3 linked regions of the Mus musculus genome follow. The protein of the gene in region 2 purifies or fractionates together with the protein of the main gene of each other region. This does not show direct contact. Links are inferred from orthologs where the notes say so. Each region holds a gene or a part of one and is shown on either strand. Other genes may lie near its edges.

What was found. The genes of interacting proteins can lie anywhere in the genome.
Region 1: the proteins of Exoc1 (region 2) and Exoc8 purify together in Homo sapiens (affinity purification with mass spectrometry; 3 studies listed by BioGRID and IntAct, counting the BioPlex papers as one, with this or other methods). This does not show direct contact. The link is inferred for Mus musculus from reciprocal best matches to the Homo sapiens genes EXOC1 and EXOC8.
Region 3: the proteins of Exoc1 (region 2) and Exoc3 purify together in Homo sapiens (affinity purification with mass spectrometry; 5 studies listed by BioGRID and IntAct, counting the BioPlex papers as one, with this or other methods). This does not show direct contact. The link is inferred for Mus musculus from reciprocal best matches to the Homo sapiens genes EXOC1 and EXOC3.

Annotation. Positions count from the first base shown.
Region 1 is NC_000074.6:124,893,842-124,899,825, forward strand, and holds the start of Exoc8 (exocyst complex component 8), read right to left. Parts: upstream 3,865-5,984; 5' UTR 3,786-3,864; coding exon 1,635-3,785; 3' UTR 1-1,634. Other genes in the region: Sprtn (sprT-like domain-containing protein Spartan), read left to right, coding at 4,317-4,540, 5,235-5,334. UniProt on the Homo sapiens protein: Component of the exocyst complex involved in the docking of exocytic vesicles with fusion sites on the plasma membrane.
Region 2 is NC_000071.6:76,531,304-76,536,855, forward strand, and holds part of Exoc1 (exocyst complex component 1), read left to right. Parts: intron 1-1,451; 5' UTR 1,452-1,461; coding exon 1,462-1,585; intron 1,586-4,250; coding exon 4,251-4,381; intron 4,382-5,552.
Region 3 is NC_000079.6:74,204,837-74,211,157, reverse strand, and holds the start of Exoc3 (exocyst complex component 3), read left to right. Parts: upstream 1-2,457; 5' UTR 2,458-2,500; exon of another isoform or gene 2,501-3,335; intron 3,336-4,060; 5' UTR 4,061-4,077; coding exon 4,078-4,251; intron 4,252-6,321. UniProt on the Homo sapiens protein: Component of the exocyst complex involved in the docking of exocytic vesicles with fusion sites on the plasma membrane.

The DNA of each region.
Region 1 (5,984 bases), on a different chromosome or scaffold from region 2:
AGGCAGGAGGATTTCTGAGTTCAAGGATAGCCTGGTCTACAGAGTGAGTTTCAGTACAGCCAAGGCTATACAGAGAAACCCTTGAAAAAACAAAAAACAAAACAAAAAAACAAAAAAAAAACCAAAAAAAGAAAAAGAAAAAAAAATAAAAGCTTAGGGGCTCCACCTACCCACCTATCCCTACTCAACAACCTGAAGTAAGTATTACAATCTGGAATTCTCTTAAAAGTTGTTTTTAAGGCAGGGTCTCTACAGATCCCTGGCTGTCCTGAAATTCACCTTGTTGATCAGGCTGGCCTTGAACTCAGAGATCCGCTTGCTCCTGCCTCCCAGTGCTCTGATTAAAAGTGTGCACCAGCATGCCAGGCTCTTGTTTTTTAAAATGCAGCACAGCATTTGAAGAGTCACAGAAGGTCCCTTCCCTGTGCTTGAGGTATGTGCATCTCTACTCAGTTACTAAGTTTCAAAAACCATCAGGGCAGCAGGTGTAGCAGTGGGTAGGGTGCTTGCCTAGTATGAGAAAGCCAGGGTTTTTTTTCTCCAACACAGCATAAATAGCATTATGGCACATTCCTGTAATCCCAGCCCTTGGGATGTGGAGTCAGGATTAGAAATTCAAGGTCATCCTTGGTTACAGCACCAGCCCAAAACCAGTCTGGGCTGAAACTTATCTCAAGAAAACAAAATGACCAAAACCAAATCTCTGGCATTCTTAAGGAGTGACATTGCATTCTTTTTTTTAAAACTCCTAACCTACACACAGCCTGAACTCTTCTCAGACAGGGAGTTCTGCATTTGCCAGAAGTCTCAGTGCCTCCAAACCCAGGCTGGTGGTGAAGTGTCTGCAGGGGCTGGAGTCACTTACCCGCCTACTGCTAGGATCCTTGGTGTGGCTTTTCAGCAAGACTTACTTCCTGAACATGGCAAAACACGCTGCAGCAGCAAATCCATTCAGTTCTGGAATATGTTAAAAATTCAACGTAGTCCTTGTGATTCTCCCACCTCCCCCAAAAAGATGCATCCAATTAGCCATGGAACATGCTACTTTTCAGTGACTTTTGGATGCCTGCAAAGTTTTATAAAGGCTTCCTTCCACATGCTACAAATACTGACAGACCTGAGGCCCACATATTGAAATTTATCCCAAACCAGTTTTCCCAACTCATTTCTTTTCATGTTGATCTGTCTCAGTACAGGACACAGGTGTGTCACACAGCACTGACCATTACGAAGCCATTTTGTTGACTTGGAATGTTTTACAACATACTTAAACCCTGTGGACCTAATATTTTTCTAGGCAGCATGGAAGTGCACTGCTCCTAGATGTGCTAACGTGAGAAGTGTCTTTCAAGTTAAAGAGTAGCCTGAAATGTTCTGGTGTGACCATACACTCTACTTAAAGAATTATTAAAAAACAGAGCAAGACATGGTATGTGCTCTTGACAGTCCCAGTATTGGGGGGTTGTATGTGATGCTTAACACATTATCTTTCTCCTTTTGACTGCATTTTTCAGAGGGCACTTTTATATGCTGTCTGTGTCTCTGAGGAATGTGCTGACATTGTGTAATGTAAATACAAATGACGCATCTGTAGCACGTGTACACGTACACACACAAAGACACAGAGCAGAGCCTCAGACCACAGAAGTCGTGCTCTCGGGATTCACCCGCAGGAGCCGGGATGCGTTCCGGAGGTCCTGCAGCTGCTTGGCGGGCTTCCCCACACCTTCCTCAAACCTCCTCTCCACCACCGGGAGGACAGTTTCATAGAGAAAGGATGCGTTCTGCCTGATGAAGGCCTTCTTCTCGGGGTCCTGCTCACAGCGCAGGCTGTAGTCCACATGCTGCACAGCCACCAGGATGATTTCTACCAGGCTCTCCAGGAGCACCATGTGGAGCTCAGGGAAGTACAGTTTCAATGCCTCCTCCAGGAAGCCCATAGTCTGCTTGGTGAAGGCTACCACCGTGTAGCTCAAGTTCACCCAGCAGTCATCTCCCGTGTACTGCTCAAAGTTACTGACCCCGCAACTTTTCATCTCCTCCTTGAGCTTGCCCAGGGCCTCAGGAGTCATCAGGTTCATGCGGCGCCACATCTCCTCCGAGTTTCGGTGCTTGGTGGCTTCAATGATAATCTCCTTGTAACTGTGCAGGGCGCCCTGGATGTCCTTCACCAGCAGGGCGTGGATGATGAAGGTGAGGTCCAGCCCAATCTCTCCCAGCTGCTGGCAGTGCTCCTTGGCCACCTTCACACACTCAGCAGCGGTGGACAGGCTCTCCTTGCTGTCAAAAACCTGCTTGCTGAAAGCATCCACGAACATGCCCATGGCCGACCTTGCCCAGACCACAAAGGCAGAGTAGCAGCCACTGTCAGTGCCTGCAAAGTCCGTCTCAAACTCTCTCGCGGTCTCTAGGAGGCTGGTAAAGAAGACGTGGCACAGCTTGTGAATGTAGAGCAGCGTGGCGCCCTCAATCCTGAGCTGGCGGATGGCAGTGTGCACGGCTGCGGCCCTGTTCCTCAGAAACAGCTCGCAAGCCTTCGTGCACTGGCCCAGCCGGATCAGCTGAGACACGGCTCTCCGAGTAGCCTTGGGGCCGCCTCTCAGAGAGCGATCCGGGGAGAGCTCAAACACAAGCACCTCGGTGAGCTGTCGCACTCGTTCGTCCACTTTGGCCCTCAGCTCTTTCACAGGAGGTGGGCTGGGCTTATCTTCCAGGTAGTGATTTAATTTGTCCAGCAAGTCCACGGCACCCTCAAAGTCCCTCTGTGCAATACAAACATCCAAGTCTTCCGGCAGCTCTTGGATCCACTCCATGGAAAGGTCAACCTTTTCCTCCTCCGCCTCAGGGGTGGCCAGTTCTTCATCATCCTCGTCCTCAAACGGGTTGCTGCCCTTGGAAGTGACCGGTGGTGGCGCACGCGGGGCTGCTGCCTCCTCCTGCTCCCGCCTCCTCTTGTCGCTGAGGGCCCTCTTGGTTTCCTCCAGCACTTCCAGCCACTCGCGCTTGATCTTGGCATTTTCCGCCTGGAAGATTCGGCTCTCGGGGAACATGAGAAGCTTGAACATGTCTTTCATGGGCGGATTGTCTTTGACGTTGACCACCGCCAGGCGGTCCAGCGGGTAGAGTGCGTTGTAGCGGTACATGCCTCGCCGTTGTGGCAGCCAGGTGGCCACCAGCAGACAGTCGTTCATGAGGAAGCCGTGCACGCGCTGCAGCTGGGCCATGTGGTCCGCATCGTATTCCACCAGGTCCCCGTTGTACACCAGGTACTGACCTGGCGTCTCCAACAGGTCCCTGCAGCCCTCCACCTTCTCCAGCAGCGTGGTGAGCGTTCGCTGCTTGCCCTCCTCGCCCGTCCCGGAACCCTCTCGAGGGACGCCCGCCGGCCCGGGCAGGAAGCCCGCCTGGACCGCCCCGCGCTCCCGCGGCCCCGCGCCGGCCGTGTCCTCACCCGCAGAGGCGCCCGCGGCGGCGGCGGGCAGCAGTGCCAGCGGGATGCTCTCCAGGCTGCTCTTCTGCTCAGTCAGCAGGTGGCTCAGCTGGTACATTTCGCTCTCCAGGTAGGAGATCTCCCGCGCCGTCTCGATGAACTGCCGGTAGTTCTGGTAGACGTTGCGCTTCAGGTTCTGTGCCGTCTCCTCTGCCAGCGCCTGCACCCGCTGCCGGTGCTCCTGCAGGTCGCGGTCGCCGTCCGACTGCTGCGACAGTTGCTTCACGTACAGCCGCGCCTCGAAGCCCCCCGACTCCAGCTGCCTCCGCAGGCGGCTCGCCCCGCTGTCCGACATGGCTGCCACTCGTCTTGCTCCCGCGGCCCGCAGTGGCTGTTACTCGCCGCCTCCGGGCCCCACCCGAGCCCGGTGGAGAAGGCAGCGGAGGAAGCGGGGCGGGAGCAACACCCAAACGCCTGCGCCGGAGCCGAGCGCTGCATTGCGCCTGTGCCAGAGTCGAGCCGCTCGCACTGCGCCTGCGCCCGGGGCGGAGTGCGGACAATGCGCCTGCGCGGAAACGGCAGCGTCTTAAGGCGCGTGCGCGGACGAGCCAGCACGGAAGTCAGAGGAGGGTCCGGCACGGACCAGACTTGACGTGTGTCGCCGGACCTCAGCGGCTGTCAGGAGACAACCGGCTGCCTAAAGCCGTCCCCAGCCCGAGCCCAGCGTTCCTAAGCCTGTGCCCGCGGGGCAGCGCCGAGCCACCTTCGGTTAGGCGTTCGAGGCTAGCCCGCGCGCCCTGACAGCAGGGCCGGGAGGCCTCGCGAGATCCGTGCGCCGCACGAGCCCGACCGGCGTCTTGGGAGCGGCCGAGGTGGGAGTAGCGGGATGGACGAGGATCTGGTGGTCGCGTTGCGGCTGCAGGAGGAGTGGGACGTGCAGATGGCGCGGCGCGCGGCGGCGGCGCGGGAGCCCGTGTCGTTGGTGGACGCGTCCTGGGAGCTGGTGGACCCCACCCCAGACCTGCAGGCGCTCTTCCTGCAGTTTAACGATCGCTTCTTCTGGGGTCAGCTGGAGGCGGTGGAGGTGAAGTGGAGTGTGCGCATGACCCTGTGAGTGCGTCCGCGAACGGCTCGGAACGTCGGGAAGGGCCAGGCCGCTAAATTGTCGTTGGTGTCCCCGCCTCGCGGCGCAGGGAGAGGTCGCCGGGAAACGTGCCCACTCCCCAGTCCCGGGCCCAACGTCCCTCAGTGATGAACCAGCCGGATCCCTTATCAGAGTTTGAGAAATCCTATTCGAGATAGTAATCTGCCCCGCACATACACTGTCACATAGCAGCTTGAGGTAAAGCAGGCTAAGACGTAGTGTACTTCTAACCTCATACCAGCCCTGTGACTGTTTTGGGAGAAGTGCCCATGTATGCCTGTGCGGAGGGGAGAGGGTGACAGTGGGTGAGGGTTAGCAAGTGTTAACTCTCTGAAGCCAAGTGACCCACTCAGGAAAGCCATCCTCCCATCAGGGACGTTTTCTTGTGAAACAGTTCTTGCCCAAGAACTGTTAGGGATTTGCTGCCCACCCCCACCCCCTTTTTTGTGGGGAGAGGGGAGAGGGCCTCACTATGTATCTGTGGCTGTCCTGGAACATACTCTGTAGACCAGGCTGGCCTGGAACTCGGAGATCCTCCTGCATCTGCCTTCCACGTGCTGGGATTAAAGGCCTGCACCACCATGCCAGACTAAGGTTTGCTTTTTGTTCTGTCTCCTCTGTATTCGTTGACCCTAATCCATTGTTGTGACTGTTTTCCAGGTGTGCTGGGATCTGCACCTATGAAGGGAGAGGAGGCATGTGCTCCATCCGTCTCAGTGAGCCCCTGTTAAAACTGAGACCAAGAAAGGACCTTGTAGAGGTATTCTTTGCATAAGCCTGATTCTCAACAAGTTGATTTGCAGGATTTATTTATTTATTTATTTATTTTTAAGAGATGGGTTCTTTGTTTGTTTGTTTGTTTGTTTTTCGAGACAGGGTTTCTCTGTGTAGTCCTGGCTGTCCTGGAACTCACTCTGTAGACTGGGCTGGCCTCGAACTCAGAAATCCGCCTGCCTCTGCCTCCCAAGTGCTGGGATTAAGGGCGTGTGCCACCACCACCCGGCTAGAGATGGGTTCTTGATAGCAGCCCATACTGGCTTCAACCACAAGATCCTCTTGCCTCTACCCAAGGGTTTACAGCTGTGCACCACCATTCCTGGCCAGGTTATTTTGTTGATTTTAAGAGACAAGAGTCTCTGTTCCTTAGGTTGGCCCTGGTCTTTATGCTTCTCTTGCTTCAGCTTCCCCAGTGAGCTGTCATGCCCATACCCAGCTATTTTTAGAGGGGTTGATGGTGAGCTGATCTCAAACGCCTGAGCTTTCTGCCTCCATCTTGAGATTTGCCATCACGGGTACGCACCAGGCTGTCGGCTCTTTCAGTGTTGGCATTTCCGGTTCGGCACCTGGAGTCTGGATTGTAGAGTTTTCACTATCAGGATTTTAAAGTTTTGTGTGGTTGGATTCACTGAC
Region 2 (5,552 bases):
GGCAGTGTGTTATCAGAATCCTTGAGGGCAAGTTGGAATTTGCAGTGACAAGAATTTGAGAAAAAGGGAAACAGTGAACAAAGCCCAGAGACAGTTTCCATAGCGTAAGATGGAGTAGAGCTTTAATGTCACATCCGGGCCCTAGGACATATTAAGGGGCATTGTACTGGCTGGGTTTGGGTGTCATCTTGACACAGGCTGGAGTTATCACAGAGAAAGGAGCTTCAGTTGGGGAAATGCCTCCGTGAGATCCAGCTGTAAGGCATTTTCTCAATTAGTGATCAAGGATGGGAGGGCCCATTGTGGGTGGTGCCATCCCTGGGCTGGTAGTCTTGGGTTCTATAAGAAGGTAAGCTAAGCAAGCCAGTAAGTAACATCCCTCCATGGCCTCTGCATCAGCTCCTGCTTCCGGACTTGCTTGAGTTCCAGTCCTGACTTCCTTTCGTGATCAACAGCAATTTGGAAGTATAAGCTGAATAAACCCTTTCCTCCCCAACTTGCTTCTTTGTCTGATGTTTGTGCAGGAAGAGAACCCCTGAGTAATACAGGCGTGCTGGCTAGTTTTAGGTCATTGTGGCACAAGCTAGAGTCATCTGAAAGGGAACCTCAGTTGAGAAGATGCCTCCAAAAAGATCTAGCTGAAGGGCATTTTTAAAGTTAGTGTATGATGGGGGCTGGCTCATAATGGTAGTTGCATGCTTGACTTGTAGAAGAAAGTGCCGGACTGTTTTCTAAAGCCTCCGAACCATTTGTGATCCTCCCAGCTGTGTGGGAGTTTCCTTCATCAGTGCTGCTGTGTGTCCATTGGGATTTTAGCTCTCCCAACAGTTGAAAGCAGTAGCTATCTCACTGTGGATTTCAGTCGCATTTCCCAGGTGGATAATGGTATGGAATATTTGGGGTTTCTGGTATGCATCTTTGCAAAAACCCAAGGGCAACTGCACATGGTGTTCTTCAGTGTACCATTCATACCCCTTTTCTTGGACATGGTGTCTCACCAGATTGGCATTCCACCAATGGGTGAAGCTGTCTGGTCAGTGAACTCCAGGGATCTGCCTGTCTCTGCTTCCCCACTGCTTGCTATGTGAGCTCTAGAAATTAAACAAGATTGGACTTGTGTCCTCCACGTACTAGGAAACACTTTACCAACAGAGCTGTTTCCTCAGCTCTGTAATGAATAATTTTTAGTATATTTATTGGTTATTTGTACTTGTGTGTGTGTGCTTGCATATTTGTATATATGGGTAGTATCTTGTGTGTGTGTGTGTGTGTGTGTGTGTATATATATATATACTGGTTTCTCTGATTTTATTTCCAAACTTGAAGCCCCATGCTTTTATGTTGTAGATGATTAATATATTTATGTATTAAGAATGTATCGTTCAAGTCATAAATGGAACACTTTATGAGGGAGGGCAGTGGTTTTGAGAATTATTCTAAATGTTTTTCAGCTGAGAAAAGATGACAGCAATCAAGCATGCGCTGCAGAGAGATATCTTCACACCAAATGATGAACGCCTGCTGAGCATCGTGAATGTCTGCAAAGCTGGCAAGAAGAAGAAGAACTGTTTTCTGTGTGCCACAGGTAGGTGGTTATTAAGCAAAAATATGTACTTGATACCTTCCTTAGGTCATACTCTCATTGTTTCTATAACTGGGAGAGTTATTGGGCTGATAAGTTAATTTTAATTGTTAATATTGATTGCTGGATGCTGTAAGAGAATTTTTATAGTGTATGTCTAAGGTGGCTGACAAGGGAAAAGGAGGACTCCGGGTGCGCAGTGTAGGGTGACAACAGCTCTTCTTTACCCCATTCCTTTCTGCTCTCCAGTGGTCAGTGTCTGGGATCCTGCATCTTACCACATTCCCCATGTGTAATTTCCATTTACTTGTCTTTAAACGTTTAATAAATTGAATTAAAATTCCTTGTGACCCTTCCCATTCAGCAGTAGATTCATGAGAATTTCGTTTTATTCTGGAGTTTTTATTGTTTTGTTTTTGAGACATGATTTCACTCTGTATTTCCAGCTGGCCTGGAGTTTATATTGCTCCACCCGCCTACGCAGTCTGCTAGCACAGCTGGCCATGAGTTGAATCTGTTCTTACACAAGGCTCTAACACCATCATAGTCACTGCCATGGCAAGCTCCGCTGTGAGTGTCCCATGGTCCCCATACCCACCCCACCAGGGTGAGCAGTAGGTTTGTGCCTGAGCTTTGCTGTTTAAACAACTCGTCTGTGAATGTGTTTGTGCTTGTCTTGTGCTTACACACCAAAATTATTTTAAGGCAGATTCTTGGATGTGGATTCTGCTCTAATATGCAGTTATTTTTAAAAGGGATGCTTTTCATTCCCACAGCAGTGTGGTTGGTTACCTTGTGTTCTCTACACCCTAATCAACAGTTGCTTCTGACAGACTAGTTGTCAGGATGGCAGCGTGACATAGTATCTGCCTGTGGTTTTGAAATGCACTTTCCTGATTAATGATGGGGTTGAGTGTCCTCTGTGAAGTGACTGGCCGTTTACTTGAGTAATGTATGGTTTCCTATTGGATTGATGGTCATTACCCAGATTTGTATAGTTGTTCTTAATTATGATTATCTGGGTAGGTATTATAAGATAGATCTATTAGCTGCATAGATATTTCTATTATGTGGTTGTATACTTTCTGTTTTGTGGCTTATCTTTACACTTTTTGTGGTTACTCTTAATGAAATTTAATTATCATTAAATAAAATTACTTTGATGCTTTATGGTTTTTACTGCATTATTTTGTAAAGGTTTTGATTCACTTGTGTCTTAGAGAGTGTTGTGTATTTGTATCTGTCTGTCTGTCTGTGTGTGAATGAATGAGCACATGTTTGTATTTCACGATTTTTTTTCTTAAATCTCATTTTGTTTTACTTTGTTCTTTACTCTTTCATCTTAATTTTAGAATCAACTTCTTAAGTTCCAGATTCTGTTGTGTTTTGATTGGGATTGTTTTTAAGCTATCTTTTAAGTTGTAGGGAACTTGCATTTTTATTAATGATGATTATGCCCATAAACATGTTTATTTTCTGCTTTTATAAGCCTTGCTGTTTTCTTTAAAAGTTTCTTCCTTTGGTCTGTGTGTTGTTACCAGTTATAATGTAACTTGATGAAACAAAATGGTACGTTTTATAAATGCCCTGTTTGCCAGTATACTGGTTTAAAATTTTGCATTCATGTTCCTCATTTATGTGTAGTTTTCTTCTCGATACCTTCGGCTGGTTAGCCATAGTTATTAAATAAGCCAGTACATGCCCCTGGTGTCCTCACTAGAATAGTTGTGTGTTTGGAGTTATTCTCTTCTTGCAAACTTGGCAGGAGAAGCAGGTAGCAGTGCTGGACTAGTGTGGGAGGTGGGGTGACGGCACAGTTTTGCCCAGCAAGTGTAGTTTAGTGCGTATCTTCCCCAAATATTCTTTAGTCCAGTGGTTCTCAACCTTCCTAGTGCTGCTACCCTTTAACACAGTTCCTCATGCTGTGGTGACCCCAAACATAACATTTTTGTTGCTGCTTCATAGCTGTAATTTTGTTTTCTGTAATATCTGTTTTCAGATGGTCTTAGGTGGCCCCTGTGAAAAGGCCTTTCAGCCCCCAGGTTGTGGACCTCTGCTTTAGTCCATTTGGGTATATTAAAATTTCTAAGAGAGTATTTGGGGGTTTGTTGTTTGTTTGTTCATTGTTGTTTGGAAAGCCATTTGCTTTTCAAATGTATCAGCATTTATTTCAAATCTAAACTCCATTCTTACGCCAGAGTTGTATTTTGGAACCTAGAGCCTGTAATTTCTCCAATAGCATCCCTTGCTGCCTCCGCTGGAGCCCTCGAAGAGCTGAGCATCCACCCTTTGTGGTAACTTCATTCCTATCCACCGCATATTACGCCGTGCTGTCTGTGTTGAATACTTCCTGTTGCTCTTCGTGAAGGCATTAGGCTCTTTCAGGACTCTCAGACTTATGCATATCAGTCACTAGATCTCTGTTCTTACACTCTGTAAGAGAGGCCTGAAGCTTTACCTCTCGGGCATCTCTCAGCCTCCAGCTCTCTAGTCTGGTTTAGATGCTTCCTTTAGGACTCTGTAACGGCCTCGGCTGACTTTTCACAAAGCATTGCCTTACTTCAGTGTTGCCGTCCAGGTTCCCAAGAGCCACATTTAGAGTGTGTGCAGGAAGAATGAGTCGGGGACTGATAGGCTAACAGTCGTGTCTGTGTGCTTTGTTCAACAGTGACCACTGAACGCCCCGTGCAGGTGAAGGTGGTCAAAGTCAAGAAATCCGACAAGGGAGATTTCTACAAAAGGCAGATTGCTTGGGCCCTGCGAGACCTTGCTGTGGTCGACGCCAAAGATGCCATCAAAGTAAGTTTTCCACAGTCCTTTGCTTGTGTTCAGGAAGAGTCTTTCTTGTTCCATAGAGCAGTGTGTGTCCTGAGATGGTCTAAGCTTGTTCTGTGGCTGCAGGTCTGCCCCCTGCTAGTCTAAAATGCGTTCATCTCTGCTTCTTCAGGCCTGCTATTAGACCACTTAATAATAATAAAACTACATACATGTGCTTGGTTCAATTTTTTACTTTGTTAAAGCTACAGTTATATTTGTGTTCAAACTACATAAACTAGAGCAAAATAAACTTAATACTATATATTTCTTTATTTAAATATACTTAATATAAAATTCTATCAATTAGTATGGATTTCAAAGTAATATGTTGTGTGAGTTAACTCTAAAATAGTCATTGTTTTGGTAAGCCTTGATTCAAAAGCATGTGTCGTACATAAGGGAGGGGGTCTTTCTGTTTTAATCCTCTCAAGTGAAATGAGGACTCCGCAGCTGATGGAGCCAATCTGGGCATTGGACATTTGTGGTTCAAATAAAGGAAGTGATGTGGGCTTACACACTTTATTTTGAGGTGATTAAATAAAATTTTAAAGCTATAAATTTTATACCTTTCTTTGAGTGTGCTCAAACTTCAAGGACATGGCATGACTCAGTATTCACATTAAAGGGCTCAAGGCAGTTGAGCTCAGCAGGGTCCTGTGAATGTCACCAGAGCTCTCTCCCTCTCTCAGTTAATGGGGCCCTCCCTCTACCTTCCCTCCTGGCTAGCTCTGACCCAGTCATTGCACAGTGGAGCACAGCAGCACACCTACTGTGTGTTGGTGGGGCACAGAGCAAGGCTCACACCACTGTCACTCTGAGACCTCTGCTGGATCTCCTAAAGTCCTGCCTGCTTGCCAGAGGTACAAAGCAGAGAAAAGTGGTAGAGGCGTTTGAGGAAGAAACATTGCTGTGCAGTGGCTGTCCTGGTTAGTGTTTGTCAGCCTCACACAGACTTGTCACGGGGAAGGAAGCAACTTCACCTGAGGAAGTGCCTCCATCCGACTGGCCTCCAGGCATATCTGTGGGGCATTTTCTCCATTGTTGATTGAGGTGGGAGGGCCCAGCCTCTGTGGGTGGTGCCATCCCTGGGCAGGTGGTCCTTGGAGGTATACTAAAGTGAGAGCATATACTAAGTGAGAGCATGGGAGCCCAC
Region 3 (6,321 bases), on a different chromosome or scaffold from region 2:
TTTGCAAAACTTGTGTAAAATAAATCTCATATTTCTATGTATTTAGTGTGAGATTGTGTGCCTTTTCCTTCAGAGGGTGTTTTGGATTCACGTTCTAGGATTGCAGAAGGGGATAATAAATGTGAAAGTAGAAAGGTTGGAGTTAAGGGTTGGTATTGGGTCCTCCTCTGCTCTCACGGGGGTGGGGTGGGGTCAGGAGCCTCCTGTGCCCTAGGACATCCCAGAGCAAGGCAGAGCAGAGGGATCTTTTCACCCAATGATATTTTTATTCTGCAATAGATACATTTTAACCTTTTTTTCTTTATGGCTCATGTACTTTGTATTTTCACAACAGTCTCTGTGGCTTTTGACAAAACCTGGGAAGTTGATGTTAATGTCACCATCCACAAATTTTTTCAGGCTTTAATTGGCTATTATGAGAAAACTTCCTCCACTACTAACCCCTTTGTTTCCTTATGTTTTAAATTTTCTCTTTTAACAGTTTCACCTTGCTTAATCCACTTACCTGCACTCATCTGAACATATTTGTACTTCCCACTCTGTTCTTAATTATGCATCAAGTCTCCCTTTTCCCACATTCTCTTCGGTCTGAAATCCTCTATGCTCTCTTCCTTGTCTCTGTTCTACTTGTTTGGAGGCTACAATTCTATCTCTTTGGTGCATATTTAATAACATCTACTGTGTAGCTCATCAAGAAGTCTGGCCTCTGAGAACATGAACAAGTTTTGGCCACATTAAGACTCACTTCTATTAAGATTGAGGGGGCCCAAAGAGCCCTTCTGGATTTTCTTTGCCAAAGGCTAGGCCTTAGCACTACTCTTCACACTGAAGAGGAGGAATCTGTCCCAAGTGCAGTGTCTTTGGCAGCCTTCTCTACTTCAGGGCCTAGCATAGCCATGTAGCCTTCTAGCCATCCCCAGGATAGATTGGTTCTGTTGTGTTTCTGGACCCACCTGTTCACCAAGGAAGCTCTAAGGTGATCATCTGGGTTTCTAGGATTCTCCATATGCTCTTCACCTACTTGGAACCCATGCCTTCTCCTTTGTGTGGGCAGGTGTAAAAATGGCTTTGGGGCTACTCTCCCTGCTTCAGGGCTGCAGAACCTTTAGTCACTGCTTCATTTTTTTTTTTCTTTCCCTACTTTGGCTCTGGTCATTCCTAGGCCTACCTATGAACTTACTTGTACACTCAAAAGTATCCTGAGCTTTGTCACTCTGTGGCTTACCAAAAACAAAAGCTGAGATTCTTATTTTATTTATTTAATTGAAAGGAAACAAGCTGAGTCATCTACTGAAGCAGTTCACATCTAACTAGGCTAGTTAACTGAATTCGTTAGGGAGCACCATGACTAAACACTCCACTATATAGTGGGCAGCAGGAGATTAGGGTTGGATATAAGGTAACTAAGGAAAACCGCAGCTTTGTCTTGGTAGCTGTGCCTCCCCACTTTGCAGTTAAACATTCATGAAGCTGAAATTTCTCCTGTTTTGTCATAAACTAAGGGGTCAGGGCACTTTCCCAGTTGCAACCCCTACACTAAGGGAGGGTCTGCATCTTTAAAAGACTGACTTCATCATATAATTTGCATTGTGGTTATGACAGGTTACCTATACTGTTCTTTCATTTACTGAAGATTTACCCCATCATCCATTGGCTTGGGAGAGCCAGACTTTGTAGTGATGTTATGGATAGGCACACAACTCAACAAATGTATGCAGAAAAGGTGAAAAAAAAAAAACACAACCAAACCTGTCAGGGTAGGGTTGTCATACCTGATGGGTGAGTGGAAGAACCTAAACCCCGCCAAAATTTACTAAAAGTTCGTAACAGTGTGGGGAAATCTCTGTATCTGCAGAGGTAGAACAAAGTTTCTGGCTGTTCTAGGTACCGGGGCGACTCGATGCTTCACTGCTTCCTTCAGCTGGAGTAATTCCACCAGCTGCTGTTTTGCTCGTGGTTTTGTTTTCTTCGCCGCTTCTACGTGCTACGCGAGCAGCTATCAGCAGGCAGCCCACTCTCTGTGGCACTGTCCTGAATACTTGAAATCTACTTGCTGTCAGAAACCTCTGGGGGATGAGGGCGAGGACAGCAAGAAGAAACAAATATACGAAATATAAGTAGTGGAATCTTGAATACAAGACACAGTAAAGATATGGAGAGGTGTGGAGAGACTAAGGTAGCTAAGGGGAGGAACTGAGCAAGGGCAAACCTAAGTGGTTAATCCGGAGAGAAAGGGTGGGTACAATAGGTGCTACTTAAAATAAGAGGGTCGGGAGAGCGCCAAACGTCAGACGGCGGAGCCAGGCCTGAATCTGTAATCCCTGATCCTGAGTCTGTGTCACCAGAAGCACAAGTTTCCTAAGAGTCTACAGAAAGATCGCCCGTACAGCGCCTTCAAGGTTACCCAGAGCCCATCCTTCCGCCCAGACGCCGGAAACGGAAGTGACCGCGTTGCACACTTCCGGTCCGGCTCCGGGAGGTGGCAGCGGCGTTGCGGACGGTGAGGAAGCTCTGCTCTGACAGCCTTGGGTGCCTGTGCGGTGGGCGGGGCGCTGGGCCCTCGACTGTGGCACAGTGTACCCCTTAGTGGGTTTGTCCTTGGCGAGGGACAGCATCGGCCGACGTTTCTGGCGGGATGCGACACCCTCTAGTGCGGGTCCCTGGGCGGGTTTGGGTTTGTCCTCGGTGTGCGTCCCTCCCATCTCCTTGGTCGGGGCTGCTTCTACCCTCAGAGTTCCCTTTTGCCCCAGAGGCCGGAAATCTGACAGTCCTCAAGCTGCCATTGGAAGCAGATTTGGTGGCGATCCAGTACAGTTTTTTTAGTTTTTGATTCTCTGTGTTCAGGTTTATGAGTGGACTCTTTCTTGCAAAGCTTTTTTGGTTTTGGGTCAGCTTTCCTTTTGCATCTGGCTTGTAACACTGCCACAGGAGTGCCTTTCACCTGTCAGCTGGAGTGGGGGACTCCATGCCAGAGGGATGGTTTGGTATTATGTTTAATACCTAGTCCTGTAAATAGAATTATACAAGTTTTAATGTTTTGGGAATGCTGAAGATAACATGTCAAACTAAAGCAAAAGAAAAAAAAAAAAGCCCGCAGTGAATCAGTCCTGTTAGAAGTGGTTGTGGAATCCTCTTTCTGTGGCCTGCTCAGATTTCCTGTCTGGGTACGAGTAATTTTATAGTCAGAAGATGAAGATGGTGTTTGCAATGCTGTTCCACTTGAATGAAAATGCAAAGAGAGAAATACACAGGGAGAAGCTACATAACTGGAAATGTACAATGGATTTTAGTGGTTTTCTGAGACTACTTGGGAATAGAGTGAAAGATTCCAGAAGGTAGGTCTTTATCACATCTGTGGCTGTTGAGTAGCTGAAATTAAAGGAAACAGTGTTATTAATTCCCTCATTTGCTGGATAGTCAGCAAATAGCCATTGTAGGTCCATGACTTGGATAGTATTAGATATTAGACTAAAGGGTGATTGACCGGGTACATTTGTGCTTAGGGGAAACAAGCTACTCAAGTAAGGACAATAAATTACCTTTTGCTGTCTTATCTTTGTTTTTAGAAGTGTTCAAAAGTAAGAAGTGGTATCTTGGCCACCCAGAGCAATGGTAAGGGAGTATAAGACTCGTGTTTGCCCACTGGGCTGCTGCTGAAGTGTAGGTAATAGTTGTTGCCTTCCAGTGACTAACTACCCCATGGACTTGGGCAGCACTAGGGTGAGCTCCAGAAATGAAAAGCTGATCTTTTATAGGGCTAAGAATTGTGTTAGAGCTGCCTTTGACATAGTCTTAAGTCCCTGTATAAATACTCTCTGTGTGACTGTCTTACGCCTGTGAGATATCCCTGCTTCTCTCTGTTAAGGTAAAATCTTCTTAGCAATTGAATTCTAAGGATTTGCAGTTTTGTTAAGGAGTTTATGACCCAAGTTCAGCTTTCATTTCTAGTTTGCTAATTTAAATGCCATAGAAATTCTCCATTAGTTGCATGGTGAGCACATGACCTTTGCATGTGGAGTCGTCACTTCATTTTGACATACCCTCTCCTTTGTGTATATAGTGTACCTGTGGTATGACATGTGCAAAGATTCTGCCTGCTTTTTGACAATGAAGGAGACAGACCTGGAGGCTGTTGCAACAGCAGTCCAAAGGGTTGCTGGGATGCTTCAGCGCCCAGACCAACTGGACAAAGTGGAGCAGTATCGCAGAAGGGAAGCTCGGAAGAAGGCCTCTGTAGAGGCCAGGCTAAAGGTAGGAGACCATAGAAATGACGGGACTGAGCATTTGTCTTGAGTTTCTCTTCGCCACTACCCTGCTTGCCTACCACCCTATTTTATGGAAATATATTCTCAACTGAGGTTGACTCAGTCTTGTGACAAGTTAACATAAAGTTAGTCAACACAGTATAGTATATATTATGTGTGTGTGTGTACATATACACTTAAATCTAGATTCTGTATATGAAAGCCTGGTATTTTTGTCTTTCTTCTTACTGTTTTTTCAAGTTCCTTTCATTTGGACTAGCAGTTCTCATCCTGTAGATCATGATCCCTTTGGGGATCGAGCAACCCTTTCACAGGGGTCAGTCACCTAAGACCATCAGAAAACACACATTTACAGTAATGTTCATAATAATAGCAAAAAATTTAAAAAGTACATTTATGAAGTAGCAAGGAGCCGGGTGGTGGTGGTGCACATCTTTAATCCCAGCACTTGGGAAGCAGAGGCAGGTGAATCTCTGTAAGTTCAAGGCCATCCTGGTCTTCAGAGCAAGTTCCAGGACAGCTAAGGCTGTATAAAGAGACCCTATCTGGAAAACCTACCTACCAACCAACCTACCAAACAAAATGAAGTAGCAACAAACATAATTGTATGGTTGGGGTCACCACAACATGAGGAACGTGTTAAAAGGCTGCAGCATTAGTAAGATTGAGAACCACTGCTTTAGACTCTTTTCTTCATACCTCATAATCCCCTTTAACTTTCATGCTCTCTCTCTCTCTCTCTCTCTCTCTCTCTCTCTCTCTCTCTCTCTCTGTGTGTGTGTGTGTGTGTGTGTACTTAAATCTAATTTCTTTAACTCTGAAAGAAGACATGCAATATTTGTTTTTCTGAGTATGACTTATTTAATCAAAATGACCTCTAGTTTCTCTCCTTTCTTTTTTCTGCAGATGACGTAATTTCATCTTTCTTCACAGTTGGATAAAATTCTATTGTGCACTTTATCCATTCATCTGTTGATGGACTTCTAGGCCAGTTCTGTGTCTTGGCTTTTGTGAATAGTGCAGCAATAAGCACAGATGTGCTAGTAGTATCTCTTTCGCTTGTGACATAGACTCTTTTGGGTGATAGAGCTGGATTGTATGGTAGTTTTATGTTTTGAAGATACCTCCATACTGAGGCACATACTTGTGTACCATGTGCCTGTCTGGTGTCTGCAGAGGTCAGAAGAGGGCATTAGGTGCCCCAGGAACTGGGATGGATGGCTGTGAGCCACCATGTGGGTGCTGGCGACTGAAGCCAGAACTGCAAGGGCAGCAAGTGCTGTTCATCACCAAGCCATCTCTCTGCCTCCCAGCGTGTTTTTTTTAAATGATAGCCATTATGATTGGAGTGAGATAGAATATTAATGTACTTTTGTTTATCCAGCTATTCTTGCTTCTTTGATTGATGGTTTTGTGTGTGTGTGATGGTTTTAGGCAAGATCTCGCCATACACCTCTGGCTGGCTTTGTACTCCCTGTGTAGCCCAAACTGGCCTCAAATTCACAATAGTTCTTTTGCTTTAGGGCTTGAGTGCAGACTTTACAGTTGTGTGTCACCACATACACCCAGTATAGTTTCAATTGCATTTTCCTAAAGGATAATGTTGTTGAACATTTTTTCATGGATCTTATTTGCATTTCTTCTTTTGATAGCTATATGTTCAGTTTGTTAGCTTGTTAATGGAGATTTGGGGTGTGTGTGTGTTTACTTGTTTATGGGTGGTAGGTTTTAATCTCCTGTTAGATATAGAGAATGCAGAAATCTGTTTTGTAGGCCGCCTTTTCACTGTTTTGATTGTAACATTTGCTGTTTAGAAGCCTTTTTACCTCTTGTTGTCCTATTTGTCAGTTCTTAATGATTATTTCTTGAGCCTATTTGACTTCCTTTTAAGGCATCTTGCATATGCTTGTAGCTTACAATGTTTCTCTGTTTTGTTGTAGCATTTCAGGTCTTACATTAAGGTCTTTGATCCATTTTTAATTGATTTTTGTGCAAAATTAGTGACAGGAATCTGGTTTTATTCTTCTCGTTGTGAGTACTGAGTTTTCCCAGCACT